Caenorhabditis elegans: one gene and its partner. The protein of the gene in region 2 purifies or fractionates together with the protein of the main gene of each other region. This does not show direct contact. Each region holds a gene or a part of one and is shown on either strand. Other genes may lie near its edges.

Evidence for each region.
Region 1: the proteins of tag-344 (region 2) and pgal-1 fractionate together in Caenorhabditis elegans (co-fractionation; one large-scale study listed by BioGRID). This does not show direct contact.

What each region holds. Positions count from the first base shown.
Region 1 is NC_003279.8:4,903,133-4,915,017, reverse strand, and holds pgal-1 (putative peptidyl-alpha-hydroxyglycine alpha-amidating lyase pgal-1), read right to left. Parts: upstream 8,180-11,885; 5' UTR 8,172-8,179; coding exon 8,025-8,171; intron 5,339-8,024; coding exon 4,834-5,338; intron 4,231-4,833; coding exon 4,149-4,230; intron 3,578-4,148; coding exon 3,259-3,577; 3' UTR 3,189-3,258; downstream 1-3,188. Other genes in the region: F21F3.6 (DUF4149 domain-containing protein), read left to right, coding at 974-1,108, 1,573-1,761, 1,812-2,072, 2,620-2,739; F21F3.2 (Protein kinase domain-containing protein), read right to left, coding at 9,910-10,104, 10,151-10,280, 10,331-10,527, 10,573-10,769, 10,819-11,140, 11,191-11,451, 11,502-11,522. UniProt on the Caenorhabditis elegans protein: Probable lyase that catalyzes an essential reaction in C-terminal alpha-amidation of peptides. Mediates the dismutation of the unstable peptidyl(2-hydroxyglycine) intermediate to glyoxylate and the corresponding desglycine peptide amide.
Region 2 is NC_003279.8:10,639,958-10,648,207, reverse strand, and holds tag-344 (Protein kinase domain-containing protein), read right to left. Parts: upstream 3,964-8,250; 5' UTR 3,925-3,963; coding exon 3,804-3,924; intron 3,759-3,803; coding exon 3,654-3,758; intron 3,607-3,653; coding exon 3,284-3,606; intron 3,237-3,283; coding exon 2,926-3,236; intron 2,880-2,925; coding exon 2,636-2,879; 3' UTR 2,591-2,635; downstream 1-2,590. Other genes in the region: fbxa-125 (DUF38 domain-containing protein), read right to left, coding at 431-634, 686-1,003; B0511.17 (DUF4283 domain-containing protein), read right to left, coding at 4,503-4,629, 5,064-5,179; eif-3.E (Eukaryotic translation initiation factor 3 subunit E), read left to right, coding at 5,933-6,022, 6,091-6,366, 6,413-6,889, 6,945-7,400; cdc-26 (Anaphase-promoting complex subunit CDC26), read left to right, coding at 7,981-8,185, 8,231-8,250.

The DNA of each region.
Region 1 (11,885 bases), 5.7 Mb from region 2:
TAAGTGTCTTGTTTGCGACAAGCCTCTTTTCAAGAGAAAGAGATGTGACGTGTCTATCCATTCCGAGAGAAGCCTTACCTCCGGAAAAGTGGACGAACGCAATGAAGCATGAAACATCGCAGAAACGGCGATGAAAGTGTGTCGATGAACAGTCTGTTGCTTCCAAATGATTGTGATCTGGGCTGTAGATTTTTAGTTTTTAACTTCGTTTTTTTCGAAGAAAAGTGAGCATTTATTACGGGAACAACATATTTTGAGAATGCGTATTGCGCAAAATATCTCTTACCGTAAACTACAGTAATCCTTATGACTATTTACACTCGAAATTATCAAAACCACCCCTGTTTTTCAAAAAATTCAATTTTTTTAAATGTCTTCGGCGAAAAAATAACATTTTTCGCTTACCCTTTTCGAAAAACTTTTCTTCATTTAGCCCTGATTGTGATGACACCACCTGTACGTCACTCTGAATTCGTTTATTTTTCGGAATCGATTTCAACATCCTTCCACCTTGCACTATTTCACACATTTTCTTCCATACTGCTATCTCTTTTTCTCTCTACCTGTCTGACTTCGCACCTGACTGCCCCGCGCCGTCGCTACCAACACCAATTTCGTTCATCATTTCCTTTCACACACACACACTGTTATCATTTCTAATTTTCCGTTGATTTCGAACTTTGGCGTCCTCTCCCCCTTCACAGATTCGTCTCGTTTTCTCCATTCGCCTGTCCACCGACCTTCTCGTAATTTCCATCATCGCTCATTTTTATTTTACACTTGACATTCTATACCTTTGCCATTGCCATCGTCGTCCTCGTTTTCTCTCTCGGGCCCCTCTTTGTACCAAGTTACAGCATCTTACCCAATACGTTCTCTCATTCCATTCCTATTTGTCACATATTTTTGTATTTGTCTCAAAATAATTTTTTTCTGGATGTTTTTTCTTCTAAAAATCTTTTTTTTTCAGAAAATGAAGGCTGCCGCATTTTCGTCGGCGCGCTACGAGAGCCCGGAGGAAGCGCGCGGAAAGTTCCGTGTCGACGCAATCTGGGACTGCAATGCCCCGAAATATCGCGTCGCGTGTGGACAACTCCATGTCACAAAGGTGAGTTGAACCTGGAGACAGTTGACGTCAATATGAGTGAAATCCTATAAATATTCATTGATTTTGACTCTTGTATTTTTAAATTTTTGAAATGAAAAAAAAAACGGATTTAATAAAGGAAATGCATTGTTTTTGTAAGGATTCCATCGGATTAGTTTATGAAAAAATAATGTAATCAAATCCGAAGAAAAAGGATTATATTAATAATTTTCTGGAATTGGTTTTTAAGAATAAGAACATCAGAATGAAATTTTGTTAGACCCAAAATGACCAAAAACTACCGAAATTCAAAATGAAATGTTCTGAAAATTTCTCCGAAAAAGGTTATGGTTGTTCAAAGTTCAGGGTTAAAAAGAATAGTCTCAGCTTTAAATTCAAAAAATTTCGGTAATCCACCTTTAATAAAAATTGATACGTTATCAGAAAATTAAATAACATACTTAGAAAAATGATCAATCTTCCAGGCAACCAAGTACATTGGAATGACCCAATTATTTGTCATCGCCCTCTTCTCGATCTCACTTCTGTTCGCCTACACATCAGCACTGAAAGTGGAAGACACGACGGAAGGATCGAAAGAATGGTCAATCAACTACTACATGGCCCGTTATGTATCCTCATTGCTCTCAGCTCTCACACTTCAACTCGGACTCGTTAGTTTTTTTTTTTGGTTTTTCAGACTTCTTATAAATTTTATTTTCAGGTTCTCATGATGCTCCACGGAGTTCGTACCAACCGCCGATCCCTTCTCATTCCGTACATCGCATTTGCTGCCATAGCCTTATTCTTGGCAATCTTCCAAATATCACTTGATATCATCAACTTTGTGGATACCAAGTCGTACCAGAATATGAATGGAGAGAATCCAGCTTCAGCCATTCTTATTCATTTCACAGGAGTTCTCGTCCATGTCTGGTGCATGAAGGTTGTCTGCAAGTGCTATTCGTTCTACGGAGACAAGAATGTAAGTTGAATAATTTTGATTTTTCGGAAAATCGAAAATTTTAGTTTTTTTTAAATTTAAAATTTTTCGATTTTCTCTCAAAAACAACGAGAACCGAAAACCGACGTCCCAATATACTATACTGAATATAACTTGTTATATAATATTTCTTAATTTTAGATAATTAAAAAAAATTTCGCCAATCAAAATAAAAAGGGCTGAATTATTTTGGAATTACCGCAAAGAAAACTAAAAATCGTGAAAAACGCGAAAAAAAAAGTTGACTAATTATGTTTCACATTATAAGACAAAAATGAAGCAAACCCAATTTGTCACTCATTTGCGCGGTAATTCGAAAATAAATGAACCTTTTTTGTTTCAAAATTGAAAAAGAATATTAAAAAAATTCAGGAAAATTCTAAAAACATTTTTACAGTTATATTCGGTATTTTTAGCAAAAAAATCTTTAAAAATGTTTCCAAAAAGTCTCAGATTGCAATGTAGCTTTGGAGAAAAATTAGAAAAATTCTCCATTTTTGCACAATAAAATTTCACGATATATTTCCAGGTTGCTGAAGCTATCGGCCAACAACTCCAATCGACATCAGTCGCCTTCGCTGTTGACTTCACTCGTCCACCACCATACACTCGTCTTCCAACCGATGTTCAACCCCTAACTCAAGCTTAAACAGCTCATAATATTTTTGTCATATATCTTATCTGATATAAACCATGACTAGAAAACCCCCCCAAAATTCCCCCCAAACGTTCGACGAGTTGCTCTCCCAATTTTCGTAGTAATCATTCATCTCCAAAAAAAAAAGAATAATTTGAAATACCAAAGTAGATTCCTCACTTCTCAGTCATCTTGTATCCCCCATCGACACACATTTTGTACTACCCACCATGATGTTGCCCCGTTCTCTCCATCCCACACACACACACTTGTCCAAACCCAATGTATATTTCTCGGAATATCCCCGATCTAATTTAATTCCCCTATAGATTCCTGTATCGGGTGATTTGTATCATTCGAAGAAGTTCTCCTTTGTCTCTCTCTCAAAAAACCAATACAAACATCAGCAAAGATGCTAATAAATGTCAATGAAAGGCGAAAAAAGAAACACTCTTGGGAATAACATTAAATAAAAATTCATTTTTCTCTCTTCTTTTGTTTTCAGCGACAACGATGATGACAAAAATTAGATTACAAAAGTCTGATCTCAAGAATTCTGCTTGGCTCCAACTGTGACACGAACATGACTCCGTCGGCAGCAATTGCAAGTGCATGAGTATTACGAACTCCTTTTGCGAATGTCTCAGTCTTTCCAGTTTGCATATCAATTGAGAACATTTGTGCTTCAACGTCTTCACTGTTACCCGTCACACCAATCAGATAGTGCTCACGCTCTCGAATTGCGAACACACGGCCAATGTCGGTGGCCGAAGTTATTGGAATTCCTGTTGGAAGTGTACGATCTCCCTCCGAAAGACCAGCTGAGAAGCATTGAACACGCTGGTTTTCTCTGAAAATTAGTTTTGAGATATTATTTTCAATAAAATTTGCATATTTTCTCATCAAAATGGGTGTACTTATAATAAATTAATAGTTATCTCTTCTTTCGTTTTATTCACTTTTGAAATTGATCTAGAAACGCGCTCCATGGCAAATTAAATTGGCTCCGTCCCTAAACGTTGGGTCTCGTTAGGTTTTTGGCAGCAAATTTTTCGTTTTTTAAAATAATTTGTATGTCGAAATTGATGATATAAAATTCATAATGCTATGTTCAAAAAATTATTTAAAATCATTTCGATTCAATAAAATAATTGAAAAAAAAGCGAAAATGCTTCAAAATTTCCGAAACCAAAGAAACCCGTTTGAATTAACGGGTTTCCTACCAAATACCTAACGAGACCCATGGTTCGGGGGCGGTGCGTTTTCAATTATCCGTGGAGCGCGTTTCCATGTCGAGATCCTTCTGCGTCCCCAGAATAAAGAACGAGTTTATACTAAACTTACGTGCCAATTATGACGCATTGAGTCAGTTTTGAAGACAACAAATTTTACGCGCAAAAGTTCAAGAAATGAAGACTAACCTGTCAGCAACGCAGACAATATTCATATCCTCAATGAGAGACAAAGAGTGTGGAACGACGAATTCAGATGGTTGGTTTTCTTCTGAAAAGAGTTGTTTGATCAAAAATCAATTCAGAAATATTTATATTTTGGATTGGATTATTCATTTGAAATAATGGATTACATGTGCATCAGAATAATGAGATCTTTTCAAGGTTTTGCTCAGCAATTCTTGATCGAAAAGGGATGTTTTAGTCTAATTTGATTAGATTTTGAGCTGAAAGCAGCGTAGGGCTCAATGAGCAACTAGAAAAGCCTTATAGAAAATTAAAAAAGTATAAAAAAATACGGAAACGCGGCCACGGCCATGTGTCGATTTACGCAGGTAGTCAACACCTCGAAATGAATTTGAAAATTTTACAAATTAAATAATTTTTTTCATAAATATGCCAAAACCGTTACGCAAAAAATTCACACTTCTTCTAGAGAAGTACACAAGATGCGTAAATCGACAAATGCGAAGAAGTTGAAAACGGTGGCCTAGAAAAACAAAATAACTCGGCCATGTGTTAAACTTTTTCACAGAAAAAACGTTTTGAAATTTGCGAAAACTATCTTAAATGGAGGTGCAGGTTCTACAGTTTTTTTTTGCTGGAAAAAAAAAACTCAAAAATTTCCAAATATGTTTCTCCCCTTCTCCCTTACCAGTAGCTGCATTGATCTGAGCCATCAGATTTCCCTTGGCGTCAAACTTGAGAATACGGCTGTTACAGTACCCATCGGCCACAAAGATATGACCATTCTTAGCCACTGCCACATCAGTTGGCTTGCAGAAATGAGCTTGATCCTCTCCGGGAACCATTTTCTCACCCAAGCTCATCACTATCTTTTGTGTCTTTGCATCGATTTTATGTACTTGATGACTTCCAACATCAGTCACCCAATAATCACCATTATTGTCAATTGTCAGACCATGTGGCATGTAGAAGAGCCCTGCTCCGAACTCATCAATCACTTTCTTTTCTCTTGAAATAATTGCGATGGTCTTGTTATTAATCACTCCCAAATCCTTATTGAATGTCTCGTGATCATTGAAGCTCTTCTCATCCCAAACACGACCTGATCTATGGAATGCAACGATATGTCCATTTTTGTTCACTGCCAAACCGCTCACTTGACCGATTTCTTTGCTGGGGTTGAATAGTCCAATCTGAAAAATATTATGTTTAGAAAACTGGTGTTAGTCTAGATTTAATGAGGGGTTTTAAATGTTTAAAGTGTGTCGTAAGTTTCAAAATTATCAGTAAAAGCTTTGGAAAATTGCCAACTTTCAAATAATTTCAGACATTTTGAGAAAATTTTGATAGACTTTTTAATGAAATTTATCATACAAATAGTCTGTAAATTATGTGCCAAATTTTGTCAAATTTCTGCCGCTAGGGCCCAGGAGGCTCAGTGAAGATGCGGGAAGAGGTGCTCTTACTAAAAGTGATGCTAGAAGTTTCCAGAAATTTAGTTTCCCCATGCTCACACATAAAATTGAAAGCAAAAGTCATGCTGCTCAAGATCATGAGCGGAACAAGCTTAAGCTCGAAGAACTTTTTGTATTTCCGTTTCTCCTCTTTTTTTCTCAATTTTCTCACCCTCCACCCTTTCAGAACCAATTTCCTTGTTTCCGTTTTCATGAGTAAGAGACAAAGTTGTTATTGCCCCCTGTTCGTGAGTATTCTTCTTTATATTGCTATATAATGCCTGACAGACACACACACACACACACACACACACACACACTCACACACAAAAAACACACACTTTGTGCGACTAATGAGCCTCGAGTTCTGACTCATGAAAGAGCCCCGTGTGAAAGCGGCGGCTCATACATTTTCAACGAACAGGGAGATGAGGATGTGGAGATGACATGAAAATTCGAAATGAGCTCGTTTTTTTGGCTCATCTCAGGAATATTATACTTCCAATCTTCACATCAGCCCACACATGTTTCCGTATTAAATTTCTCTTTTTTGTTTGGTTTTTTAGCAGAAGAAAAAAACAAAATCGGATGGCGTTTTTGCAGATTTTGTACGGAAAATGATGAATTTAGCCACGATGTTAGTATTTACTTTGATGTATAATTTGAAATTTTTCTCATTGGTAGGAAGCATTTTCCGTTTCTATTTTTCAAACTGCCGAGGTTTAGGTCAACTTTTTCAGAGGCGGTGTCCGTGCGAGAAACAGTCGATAATTTTACTTGAAATGTAAAATAGAATAGGCGTCATGTGGAGCACTTGTAAAATTACATTGCCTATTAACTGTAGGCAGGTCGATGCTTACGCATGCGTACCTACCTCATGCCTGCCTAAATTAATAAACTGATGGAATGTATCTATTAAATTTGAAAAGGATGACAGGAAATTTGGCTGTAGTAGGCAAATGTAGTTATGTAGGCGTAGGCGTTAGGAGAACTTCAAATGCCTCAAAATCTTGTCCCCGTTTTCTCCAATTTTTAGTTTTTGATTAGCATCTATGAGATCTTGCAAACAATATTTTAACTGACATTTTTGGGATTCCAAGAAACACTCGTTGCCTCTTTTCTAGTCAAATCTATAGGAGTGTACTCAAGAGAAGAGACACTAGAGAACCAAATGACGTCATTCAACAAAATTGGAAAGAGGAAGAGAGATGTTAAATGGCCGAAGGCAAATTTACATTCATTTGAAAGTTCTCTACCAGACATTTGGAGTTTGGAGAACGGTGGTTTTCTGAAATGCTAGGAAATTCGAGAGCAAAGATGGAAGATTTAAATTATTTATGAAGCCTACGTTTTCAGCATGAAAAAAAGCTATTAATCATTCATTTTGTCTCAAGTATCACTTCTATGACATTCCTTAAAGGAGCATCATCTTTAGGGCGCACTTGACTCACAAACGGCTGCAATGTGAGCATTTTGAATGGTAAGATTTGTGCTGCGTGCAGCATGTGCTTTTTAATGCATATAAACTGCAGGCAGGCACATGTACGCGCCTTCGTATCTATCTCATGCCTGCCTGCCTACGTGCTTTTCAACTGAAGCTTTCGGTGTTTGAAAAAGTGCACATACAATAAATTGAGTAGCTATTAAATTTCAAAAGGATGACAACTGTAATAGGCAGTGCCTACTAGGAACAGGCAACTGGTCTTCAGACATTATGGTCACATCACAAAACTAACTATGTTCAGAATGACAAAGGAAATACTTTCTGTCATAAAAAATAATCTCCGATCATCTTAAAGGTTAAAGTTTACTGGGCTCATGTAAACTCGAGATCTCAGCAAGAAATTGACCTCAAATTCGCTAGGTTCACACTACAATGTATCCTAATTTCGGTTGAAGCCGAAAACAAGAATAATGAGAAATTGGAAAACGAAGCCAGCGAAATATTGAAAAGTGACGAATAGAGAGTAAGTTATTTTTCAACATGAGAAAAGTTCTTTCAAAAACTGTGCAAAGTTTAGAACTTATCAATTAAGATCCGGAAAAAACCCACATTGGGAACACAGTTCAGTTAGTTTATTGAAAATATATACAAAATCTTTTAGCAGAACTTCTGACTTCCAAGAATGCGAAACTTGAACACGGAAGTCTATATAGAAATCGGAAAGTGTGAGTAACTGGCATGCATTCTAAGAAAGTAACACCAGTGAGTTGATACATATACCTAGCCAGGGAATGTCGTGTGCGTGGGTTATCAAAAACGTTAAATGATAGTTGATATCAGTGGCTACAAGAATTTGAATAAGAAAGCTTCTTTCAAAAGAAATATTTAAAAAAAACAGTAAGTCAGAAATTTTCAGACAAACAGTTTCAGCCCTTACCTTTCGAATAAAAAAACTAGCTAAAATAAAAATGAGAAACTAACCAGCTCCCTATCTTGTTCAAATACTGCACTGTTCTCGGCTCCCTCCTCAATTGGCTGTTGTTCATCCCCGTAGAAATATTCAACTGGCAAAGCGGAAATATAAAAGGGCGCGAGAAGCGCGACGAGGCAAGCGGTGGACGCCCGCATCCTAGAATGAGTCGGCTTCACGTCGGCTCTGGGCACCGACGTCTTCTGAATCGATAGACGACGGAGACGCCGACGGTGAAAGAGTTTTGAGAGCAGGGAGGAGCCGGCGCGCGCGGCTCTCTTACGCGACTCGTGGGCTCAAATGGAGCAGCAAAAACAGAGTATCCAAAAAAATTTCAGAGCTTTTTTTTCTTTCTCTGCTATGAGGGAGTAGGGGTTTGTTTTTGAGAGATTAAGCTGTGATAAATTCGTGAAATTAGAGGAGATTCACATTTCAGTTTTGAGAAATTTGTGATCATTGGATTGAACATGACTTGGGAATTAGTTAACTGAAAAGTAAAAGAGAGTGAGGATGTATGAGTTGTAGTAGGTTATAAAATAAATGTACTTATTGTCTAGACAAGGATATGATTCAGGAATTGGATATGGAATTGGGATGATAGAAATGATGAACTCGGCAAGTGATGTTTCTGAAACTGAAGGGAATTCAAATTTTATTAAAAATAAATAAATTTTGGAGAAAAGTTTTACGAATGAACTTTTTTTCATTCCCCGTCCTCTTCTTGCGTACCATTTGCCAAAAATGACTTCATTGGTCTAATTTCTGGAAAAGAATTCCGAAAAAGAATTCAGTAAAATTAATCACTCCCGTTTTTTCTTCTACTGCAATGTTTCCCTAGAACTAGAATTTCTAATTGCGAAAAAATTTGGTGCTTTTCTGAAAATTGTTAAACAGGTGTAATTTTGAAGAAAATGAGTCAGTGCTTGCAGAACTGGGATATGGTAAAATTTCTTGTGGAATGTTGAATGATATCTGATATCTGATAAGCCGATGCATTTTGACTATATTTTCCGTAATTCTGCTTTAAATGAAAACTTTTATTACCTGAAGCATGAGTCATAGCTAAATTTGATTTATTGACCTAGAATATTAATTCACCCACCCCTCAAGAATTTTCCCTTATTCAATAAATCTAATTTTCTATGGCTCTAATTCTTTGAGAGCACAAGCTTTTTCCAACTACGGTAGGCTCAGTCAATGTTCATAGTTTATTGAGTTTTGAAGTTTATTTGAAAAAAGAAAAGAGTTCTCTCTTTTGTTCGGAATAAAGGTTTGGTTTTTGATCGAGAAGTGGCGTAAAAAAGACAACTTTTTCCTCTTTCCTAGAAGCTATAGAGTTCACAAATGGTTGAGTAACGAAGTAAAGATTATTTTTAATTGTCGTTGACTTTGGAAGAATAAAGGAAAACTGCACCTGTTCAAGTCACGATCAAAGTATATCCTGAAATATATTTTTAAAATTTGAATTATTTAAAACTTGTTTAGCGGAATTAAAGTTTTCTATGGAAGTTCGCTTGTTAATCAACTATTTGCAGAATCTTCTTGGAACTTCATAAAAGCGTTCAAGTTTCTCTGCTCATCTAAGAAGTTGGATCAATAGAGGTATCAAAAGAAGTATAGCATAAAAAGCCAAGAGAATTCTCAATTTTAAAGCTTCATAGAGCTAGTAAGACTAATTCAAAATAGATGTTTGAAGAGGTACATAAGAAATCAGCAGGAGGTGAATATTTCATAAGGATTATTCAACGTTATAGTTCTCTCACTGTCAGTTCAAAAATGTCTACCGTCTGCTAGTTAGATACTATAAAACTTCGAACGGAACAGTTTGCCATTGCAGTTCACAACTCTCGCTATTCTTTATTTCCTAAAAAACTCTACACTAAATATCAAGTAGTACTATTCTGGTTTCTGACGGGGCGGTGGTGCGTTCATCACCGACTTCATTGTCGATTTCTTGGCGATTGCCGCGGTCTTGTTGGACTCGGAACGCTTGCCAGGAGCCGAAGGAGCCTCTCCACTAGAAGGTGCAACACGTCGATCGTCAGAGCTGTCCTCTTTCGACTTGTTGTCACGAGCCATCTTCTGCTCTTTCTGTAATAATTTTTAGATTAGATGGTCGTTTATATTGAATGCTAACCGGGATAAGAGTTGATCTTCTCGCATAAACATTCTCATATGAGTTGCTCTTCTCACAATACGGAATCCCAAGATCCTTGTTGTCCGTCTTGACCAATTGCGCGAGACGGCATGCGGAGGATTCTTCGTTTCTGAAAGTAAGATAAATGTTCACTATAATACTTTTCTCAGGTACACATACTCAGCAGCTCGCTTGTAATCAGCAGCAGTTATGACGTCAGAAATCTTCTGTCCGTTGTGACGAACTGCTCCAGCTTTGAAGAGCGGACGGAAGAAGTCGTCCTGAAGCAATTGTTTGCCACGAAGACGTTTCTCGGGAGCATACACCAGGATTCTCTTGATGAACTGTAGCTGATCAGGTGAGATATCGTTCACAAGCTACAAAAATATTCAATTATTCCTAATTGTGAATAATGCTCGTACTCTTTGAAGTCCGAATCCTTTCGTAAACTTCCAATACTCTTTCTCCAATTTTTCTCCCTTCATCGCACTAATGTCTTGCTCATTTGGGGCACCAAAGCAGCGGCAGTAGAGTTTCAACTGATGAGCACTATCTCTTCCCGGGAAAACCACATGACGCTTCACCATCTCTGCCATGATACATCCGGCAGACCATACATCTGGAATTCATAAAACAGTTTGCATTAAACTGAGGAAATGTCAACTAACCAACTGTGGAATTGTATTCCATTGCTTTCATCAACAATTCGGGCGGTCTGTAGAAGCGTGTGACCTGATAGAAGTTGTTTGCCTTCCCCTTCACGATGATCTTTGCTGACCCGAAGTCACTGATCTTCAGGAATGCGGTGTCATGATCAACCAGAATGTTCACCGGCTTCAGGTCTCGATGGACAACCTTGTGTTCCTCCAGGTATTTCAATCCGGAGAATATTTGCCACGTGTAAAGGCGAATGTCGAGGTCCGTGAGCTTCTGGCGAATCACTTCGGCCAAGGTGTTTGGCATAAAGTCGAAGACGTAGGATTCACAAACCTGGAAATTCAGGAGTTCCTTGAATTCTACGAAAGTGCTTTGTGGCAAACCTTTGTGTCATAACTGTGGCTAAACGCAAAAATCATATGAATCACGTTCTTGTGTTTAGCCCGTTCGCGACCCGTCAAGAAGATGAACTCGAAATTGCGTTCTCCCTTTTCCGGCCAACTTTTCTTGATGGCGATCTTCTTCTCATATGGCTCTCGGAGTATTCCTTTGTAGACATTGCTGAAGACGCCACACGAGTGAAGATGTACTTCTTCGATTTTCAGCATGACTTTTTTATTGTCAGCTGGCATTTCATAAGCTTCCTGAAAGAGTCAGCGTTGAACGTGCTAAGCTTTGAAAAAAGTTGACTTACCTGCTCAACTGTAACACTCATCTTCTTCTTTTATCCGCTTCAGCTTTTCTTTACAACAATCAGGGAATAAATCAAATAGTGATTTTCTTTGAACTTTTTGAACAACATTTTTTCTTTTCGTAAATTAGAATAGCACGCCTTGATCAATATGGTAATTCTTTATATTGTCACGCAAGAACAAGTATTTTTCAAATTAAGCAGAAGGGCTAGAACAGAAATTGATATGGGAAATAATGCGTAACTATTTGTTTTTCCATATTGACTATTGATTGCAAAAGTTGAAAACTAATTCCAGTTTCCAAAATTCAAATCCTTAAACTTGAAAAATAATCAGAACTACAAGTTTGCGGTTATTAACCTTTATTAGATTTTTCTAGCAAGAAT
Region 2 (8,250 bases):
GGCAAGACATCACAACTCCAGGATTCACGAACAGTGGACCATCACCTCCAACCACAACAAATGTCAATTTTGAACAGGAAGAAAGAAACGGGTAAAACTTTTTTCACCAAATGGCAGATGGTTCTGCCATCGTCCAAGTTTTGTGTACTCTAATCGGTCTACAAAACAAAAGGAAGGGCAAAAAAAATAAATATGCAGATGATAGTGGAAACTTTTGTCACGAACTGGCCGGAGGGCCCAGAAATTATTCTGAAAACCTTATTCCAACGGCGCGCACCTTTGCAACATTATCAAATCTTTACCTAAATAATGTATAACACACATGTACTCTCCAAGATAATTACCATCTTAGGAGTTAATCAAAAAAAAATCTGATCACTTCATTTTGAAAATACACAATTCAAACACAAGACAGTTCTAGTAGTGGGAATTAATTTTTCTTCTTGAAACGGAGAACTTTTTGGTTGCTCGAAAATGTGAAATCTGCAAAATCCGTGTTTCGCACCAAATTGGAAAGATTCCTTTTTCGATGAACTTTGGCTGCTTTCGGATCAAAAACTCGAATAACATTGACGTCCAAGACACTTTTCGAGGTGAAATATGCATGCTTGATGTTACTAGAAGTCAACAAAATCTGAAATAATATTAAAGTGAAATTCAGCGAAACTAGACTTATCAAACTAACATCCTTGATTTCAATAGCTGTTTCCACCGAAATTGTTGCATAATCGACGCAAACAAGTGAGAAATGAAGGAGATCCTTGATTCGAATATTACTCAAACCACGAAATCCGCTAATATTTTTTGCATTTTTCCACTGATCAGAGTTGACAATTGTTTCCATATCTTCAGCCGTCGGTTTTCCACAATAGTATAAATCCAGATTTTCCAGCTTTCCAGCCTGGAAGCTCGGAAGAATTTGAGCAATTTGAGAAGATGGAAGTCCACAAGTAGAAATGTTTTTCACATCCGGATATATCGACGAGCTTAGCATTTCTGCCATAACTCGAACACTTCTTGAAACCCAATCATCGCATTCTTCAATACGACACAGTCATTTGATTCTTGCTGATAGTGAACTTCATACTGTTTGCGCTTCTCCTTGAATTCATGAAAATACGTGACCTTCACTTCTTTACTGTCACTATCAGAAATGGACACACGGATTTGTGAAATTGCAGGATCCATTTGATCAATGAACTGGCGGAGAGTTTGATTGCTTTTTCGTACGCGAAATCTAAAAAAATCATAATAATTATTTCAATACTCATTGTTTTGTAATTCACCTCTCGTGTAAATCCAGTTTTCCAATAATTTTTTGGTAGAGTTCCACCGGTAAATCAAGAAATCCTTTTGGCCTGAAATTTGAAAAAAATTATTTTTCGATAACCTTTTAATTCAATTTACTCTTGTTCAGATGTTCCGCCGATTACTCCTCCAACGATGATCTTGCTTTGGCCTGCCATATTGAAGTTGTCTGAAATATTTAATTATTTCTAAAGAAAAACCTTCAATCAAAGCGAAAAATTTGGATAACAGAAAGAAAAACAAATTGAAAAAAGGAAATGTACATATTTTCGGTTCGAAACTTTCAAAAAGTGTAATTTTCTATTTAAATTCAGCTCAAAATCATGATTAGACAAAACTCTAAAACATTAATGATAAAGTTACAAACTTTATGGCCAAAACTCACTTTAAAAGCTTTTCAAGAAGAAAAGCTGTGTATCGCAGACTGGAGATATCGAGAAATAAATTTAATTTGCGAAAAAAACCGAGGCAGTACAGCTTAAACGAGGGAGAATATAGGGTCACGAATAAAATAATGAACTTTGGCAATTTTTCCCCAACTATTTTCAAATTGTTCCCGTGAACTTTTTTTAAAATTTATATTTATGGAATTATCTCATTTTTGAATTTAATTTAATTTTCATTTTTTTAAGGCTTAGAAATAGTCATTTCCGAAGCCTGAATATACAAATGCTCCTCAAAATTGCATTTAAAAAATTACTTTTGCAAAGTAAGGGGATATAAATAATACATAAGTAACCTATTTTAATTTAACAAAACATCTGTTTATTGTATGTACAACCAAGAATTAACTCACCTCCAGCTGCAATAATACCTATTTTACAAGTATTTTTAGAATTTTGGACTTTTCAGTCATCCTCTAATGAAATCAATTTATAAGTAAATCGAGGTTATCTAATTCCAACCGTTTTCATGAAAATTAATATAATTACTACAGTGTCAACTAAATTTTTCAATTTGGTGAGCAGTTCGGCCATCTTCATTGTCATCTAGAAAATGTTGAAGTATGCTTTTACTAGACTTACGCCTAAGCCTAAGTCTAAGCCTAATCCTAAATAGAATTCTAAGCTGAAGCCTAAGCCTAATAGTAAGCCTAAACACAAGTCTCAGCACAGCTCCCTTGCGTCACTTCCACTGTCTGAAATGTATCTGAAATGTGTTTCCGATTAATATCGAATGGAAATGTTCAATTGAAGAGGTTGTGTACTTTTCTTGATACACTGCAAAGGCATGAAATCGCTTTATGACAGACAAACTACAATCTTGTTTTAAAAGAATAAATCTACTAAAATGCTTTATTCACTGTCACAATAAGTTCACATGCCGTTCATCCTTGCTGTCTCTTGACTTCTTTCGGTTTTCCTGAGACAGGAACAATCGGAGTTGCAGGTGACACAATTCGAGTTGCCAATACTTTTGGTGGCTCATTGGGTTTCATGTAGTACGGTTGAGTACGGAGCCATTCAGATTCACAAATTGCTTTGTAGGTCGGACGGTTCGGTGCATGTGGCTGGAGAATCTCAAGGACCAGAGCCTTCGAAAAGACCGATGATGTGCAACTTTTCGGGAATCTGAAATGAGAAATTTAACTTGAGTTGTCTTTTAAAAAAAAACTACTTAATTTTATGTGCCAACTGTCTCTCGATCATTTTCCTTGGGTCACGATCATCAAATGGCATTGATCCAGCCAGCATTATGTAGAGAATGACCCCAGTACTCCATACGTCAACTGCATTTCCAGAATATTCTCTGCCACGAAAAATTTCTGGAGCCACATATGCTCGCGATCCACAGAATGTTCCAGATTTTTCACCCGGTTTCAGAATTCTCGAGAATCCGAAGTCGCCGAGCTTCACATTTCCATGTTTATCCATAAAGATATTTTCGCATTTGAGATCCCGATGCACAATGTTATAGGATTGCAGATGCTGAATTTATAAATTTAAGAAAAACAGTTTTCTGATATAAAACTTACAGTAAGTGCTGCAATAAGTTGACGAAATGTGAACTTTGCATCTTCCTCTTTCATTGCCACGATATCCTTCATTTTACGGAGCAAATCTCCTCCAGCACAGTACTCATTGACGAAGATGATGTGATCTTGAAATGAAATCATCTCGTACAAACGACAAATATTATCGTGTTTCAAGAGCTTGACAATCTCTTTTTCACGTGGCAAAAACTTTTTGATGTAGTCCTCTTTTTCACGAGTTGGCGTAATGTTGATGATTTTCGCTGCAACTTCGAGCTTTTTCTCTCCGAAAGTTGCGCGTGCCACACGGGAATAGGAGCCACTACCTGTAAATTAATGAATTATAAATTGGAATTAATTTCCAAATGATTACCGAGAACTTTCTCAAATTTGAGCTTCCAGACCTTCTCGAGTGTTGGAGCAAAAGCTTTCGTTTTTGGACTCAGTTCATCAGGTTCTTCTTGGTTCTCAGAAACATCTGAAAATTAGTTATTTTCTCTGAAAATCTGCATAAAATTCTTACCTGTATTGTTTTCCGTTGCCATTTCAACAATTTGCCAGAGAAATATGAATTCAAAATACTGCGAAATTGGTCGATTTTGGTTCGATGAATATTGATTAATAGATTTTTCTTCTCGATTCATCAGTTCATCAAGACATTTTCACGTTTCACGAAAGGTCACTTTTTTTTCGATTTTTCCTTGATTTCTCCGTAAATTTTCTTTGTTGAAAATGTTTAATTAACATTTTATCGGGAAATAAAAATGTTCGCTACTAACTATTTGCTTTCTGGCGCCTGTTACACACCTCATAACATGCCTAATTCCTATAATCTGGATTCGATAATATTATAGGTTTCTTTAAAATGAAGTCTTTGAAAAAGCATGGATTAGAATGAAAATATAAATAATATGATAATTTGAGAGTAATTGAATAACATATACATTTATAAAACAGAGGGTAAAATGGAGTAGTGCTAGTGGGGGACATTTTTAAAAATTCGAAAAGACCCAAATATCAAAATATAACATTCCAACTTGAAAAAAAAACTGTTTGCACCCAAAAAGTTAAGATTTGGCAGCTGGAAATCTACCAAAACAGTTTTGAACAAATTTTAGCGGTTATTTGAAAATTGAGATCTAAAAATTGTTTGCCTTTTTTATTTTGATATCTTGGTCAATTTCAGTGTATTCTGACATAACAGCAACTGGCTTAAATTGAATTAATAGTTATCGTTTTTCCATACAACAAAATCAAGGCATTCTTCGATAAAATTGACGGTTGCAATTTGTCCATCGTCGCTCTCAATATCCCATCCAAGTGTACAATCCAATTCGTCTATTTTGTATCTGAATGTTATTATTTTTCAAATAAAATAATTTAGCTTTTTTCCTTTAATCTCTACAGTAGATAGGTAGCAAGAATTTCTTCAATTAGTATGGCACCCCATCGTTCACGGTTGAGAGCTTATATCTCGGTTGTTTTCAAAAATAATTAACTGATGAAATATTTGGTAGTTCTTTTTATATCGTTTTGTAGTTAATAGTTTTATGATATCTTTGAAATGAACCGAGATATAACCTTTCAAAGTAAAGTAGTCTGTTGAACTAATAGAGGAAATACGGTATGTCAAGATCTTTAGAAACAATATGTGTAACCAAGACCCACAAGTCAAACTATATAGTCAGGTTTTGTTTCAACTGGGTGGCACACTACCCTCAAGAATCAGGGCTCTTCATGTAGCCCACTCGCCAGCTCTACGACAAATAATTTATATTCTCACTTGAACACTTTTGGTCTTCGCTTTCCATTCCACGGTCTGTGAATAATTCGATGCATTACTCCTTCATAGTTTTGAGGTCCATATGAATTGAATCGTATTCTTCGTAGATTCGGCATTCCTCCTGACATCAAATACCCGAATTTAATGTTGATCAAACCGAAATGGGGCAACCTGACACCACATGAATTTACGGTCTCGTCTGTTCCCAAAAATTAATAATAAAGCATTCTAAATTTTACTGTTCGCTTTTCTGTGCATTTCAAAATTTGAAATTTCATAAAACTTGTGTCTCTGACACATCGGTAAAATTTGGCACACTATTATTGAGATCGTTGCGGGACCCACTCGAAAAATTAATATGTGATTTTAAACTGACATTTCACAATTACAATATTTAAGCATTGCTTTAAAGCCACACAATGTTTTTCGGGGTGGGTCTCGATACGGGCTCGGGTCTTAATATCTTGTAACTCTTCCTAATCCCAGGAACATTATGATTCGTTCGTAATTTCTCAATTTGAATATTTTAAATTAAAAAACTTTTAACTGAAATTTTAGAACCAAAAAACTCCGAAATATTTTTCAAATGTCGCAAATTGCAGTTTTCGGTTATTCTTCTCGTAGTTCTACTTCTCGCAGTTCTCATTTCGCTGGTGGCTCGTGTTGGCAGGCAGTAGCAACGACACTCCGATATTCCATAGCGCGCGTTGTTTATCATTTCCTCCTTTCCCGGCGAATTTCTCCTAATTTCTCGATTTTCTTTCTGCAATTTCATTGTTTTTGTTTTATTTATGTTTTCCGTTAAGAAAATTGATTGGAGTTTTATTAGAACATATTACTATACTAATACGCTTATTTTACAGGTAAAAATGTCGACATTCGACCTGACTCAGCGCATGGCGCCTTTTCTCGATCTTCATTTGATCATTCCGCTCTTGGAGTTCATCGAACCACGAGGAGTAAGATTTAAACAATAAATTGTTGATTCTGAAATAGCTGAATTTATTTATATCAATGATAATTGCAGATTTACGATGAGAAATCCCTGACCGAAATGCACCGCCAGCTTTTGACCAAGACCAATATGATTGATAGTGTTATAGAGACCTACAATGGAAAACCTATTCCGGCTGCAATTGAGGCTAAGAAGAAGCAAATTATCAAGGAGAGAGATGAGCTGAAAAGCAAGGTGGACTCCGTTGTTGCCATTTTGGAAATACCGGAAGTCAAGGAAATGATGGATAACAACAGAGAAAGAGATGGAAATGTCCGTATTTTGGAGCATCTCACTCAAAACCACAATGTACGTTTTTGCTTTGCAGTTTCGAAAATAATCTTAATTCTTGCAGTTCACAGTAGACATGGTCGATACCCTCTTCAAGTACAGCAAGTTCATGTACGAATGCGGAAATTACACCGTCGCATCCGTGTGCCTTTACTACTACCGCAACCTTGTCAATCAAGCGGATCCAAACTATTTGAACGCTCTTTACGGAAAGTTGGCCAGTGAAATTCTGCTCCAAGAATGGGAACATGCTCGTGACGATTTGCTGAAACTTCGTGCTTACATCGATGCTAATCCATTCGACACGGAATGGGAACTTGTTACGCAACGTGCGTGGCTTATGCACTGGGCACTTTTCGTCTACTACAATTATCCAAAAGGGCGTGATGAGATTATCGAAATGTTCTTGAACCAGCAACCTTATTTGAATGCAATCCAAGTTTTGGCGCCACATTTGCTCCGCTATCTGGCTGTTGCCGTTGTTACCAGCAAAAGCCGCCAGAAGAACAGCTTGAAAGATTTGGTGAAGGTCATTGACATCGTGAGTTTAACTATTTTCTATATGAAAATATGATTAATTATTTGTTTTTCTACAGGAACGCCATAGTTACAAGGATCCCGTCACTGATTTCCTCACCTGTCTCTACATCAAATATGATTTCGACGAGGCTCAAGAGATGCTTCAAAAGTGCGAAGAGGTTCTCTCCAATGATTTCTTCCTGACTGCTGTCCTTGGAGATTTCCGCGAGTCTGCACGCCTTCTCATTTTCGAGATGTTCTGCCGCATTCATCAGTGCATTACCATAGAAATGCTAGCACGACGATTGAATATGAGCCAAGAGGAAGCTGAACGCTGGATTGTTGACTTGATCAGAACGTATCGTATCGAAGGAGCTAAAATTGACAGCAAGTTGGGACAAGTGGTGATGGGTGTCAAATCCGTCAGCATCCACGAGCAAGTCATGGAAAACACGAAGAGATTGACCCTCCGCGCTCAACAAATCGCCCTTCAATTGGAAAAAGGTCGTCAAGACAAAGTCAAGGCGACTTAGGCTTTACAAGTTCTTCCGGTTTTGAATGTTTTTTCCTTTTTCTTCATCTGATGCTGTTCTGAAAATTGAGATGTGGCAAACACGGAGATTAAGACTGTCATCTCTCAGTTTTCAGTATTATTTTTCTTTCTTATTTGTTCAGCTCCTCGGTTTTTTACGAGGACTACTCGAATTCTGTCTTTTCTAAACTTTCCTTATATCCCTGTTGTTTCTTTTTGTTGTCTCTGACCCTTCTTTCGTTAGTGCAGGGGCTGGAGGTTCGGTTCTAATTGGTTAAAATAATATATTTTCTCTTTTATCATGGTTTGATTATTGTTAGAATCTAGGTTTATGAAACCTTTCAATATATATTTATTGCCGTTGCCGAGAAATTGTTTGAAATTATTTTTTGTGAGGAAAAACACTTCCATCTGTATATTTTGTCATTTCTGTTGAATTTGCCTTACTTTTTCGCTAATTACAGAAATATTTAAGCCATAGGTTCGATTTTGCCGTTTAAAAATTAAATCTCCAAAAATACACATTTTCGCCAATTCACAGTTTTTATGAAATTAAATAATTTATCTCACTCTTTTTCAGTATGTCAATGTTACGGCGTCCATTAACACAATTAGAATTGTGTGAGGACGATATCCAATGGCTGACAGATCAACTGAACAAGAGGGTACTTCCAGCTGTGATCGTGCCAAAATGCGAAATGATGGATATTGACGAAATGGAGCCGATGGATCAGAGTGAGCCTCCACGTGGCATAACTAGGAGAAATCTCAGATCGGCGGATAGAAGTGAGATGATGATTTATTTAATTTTTCCTAACCTAGCTTTTTCAGAGAACAGAGACGTTCCAGGA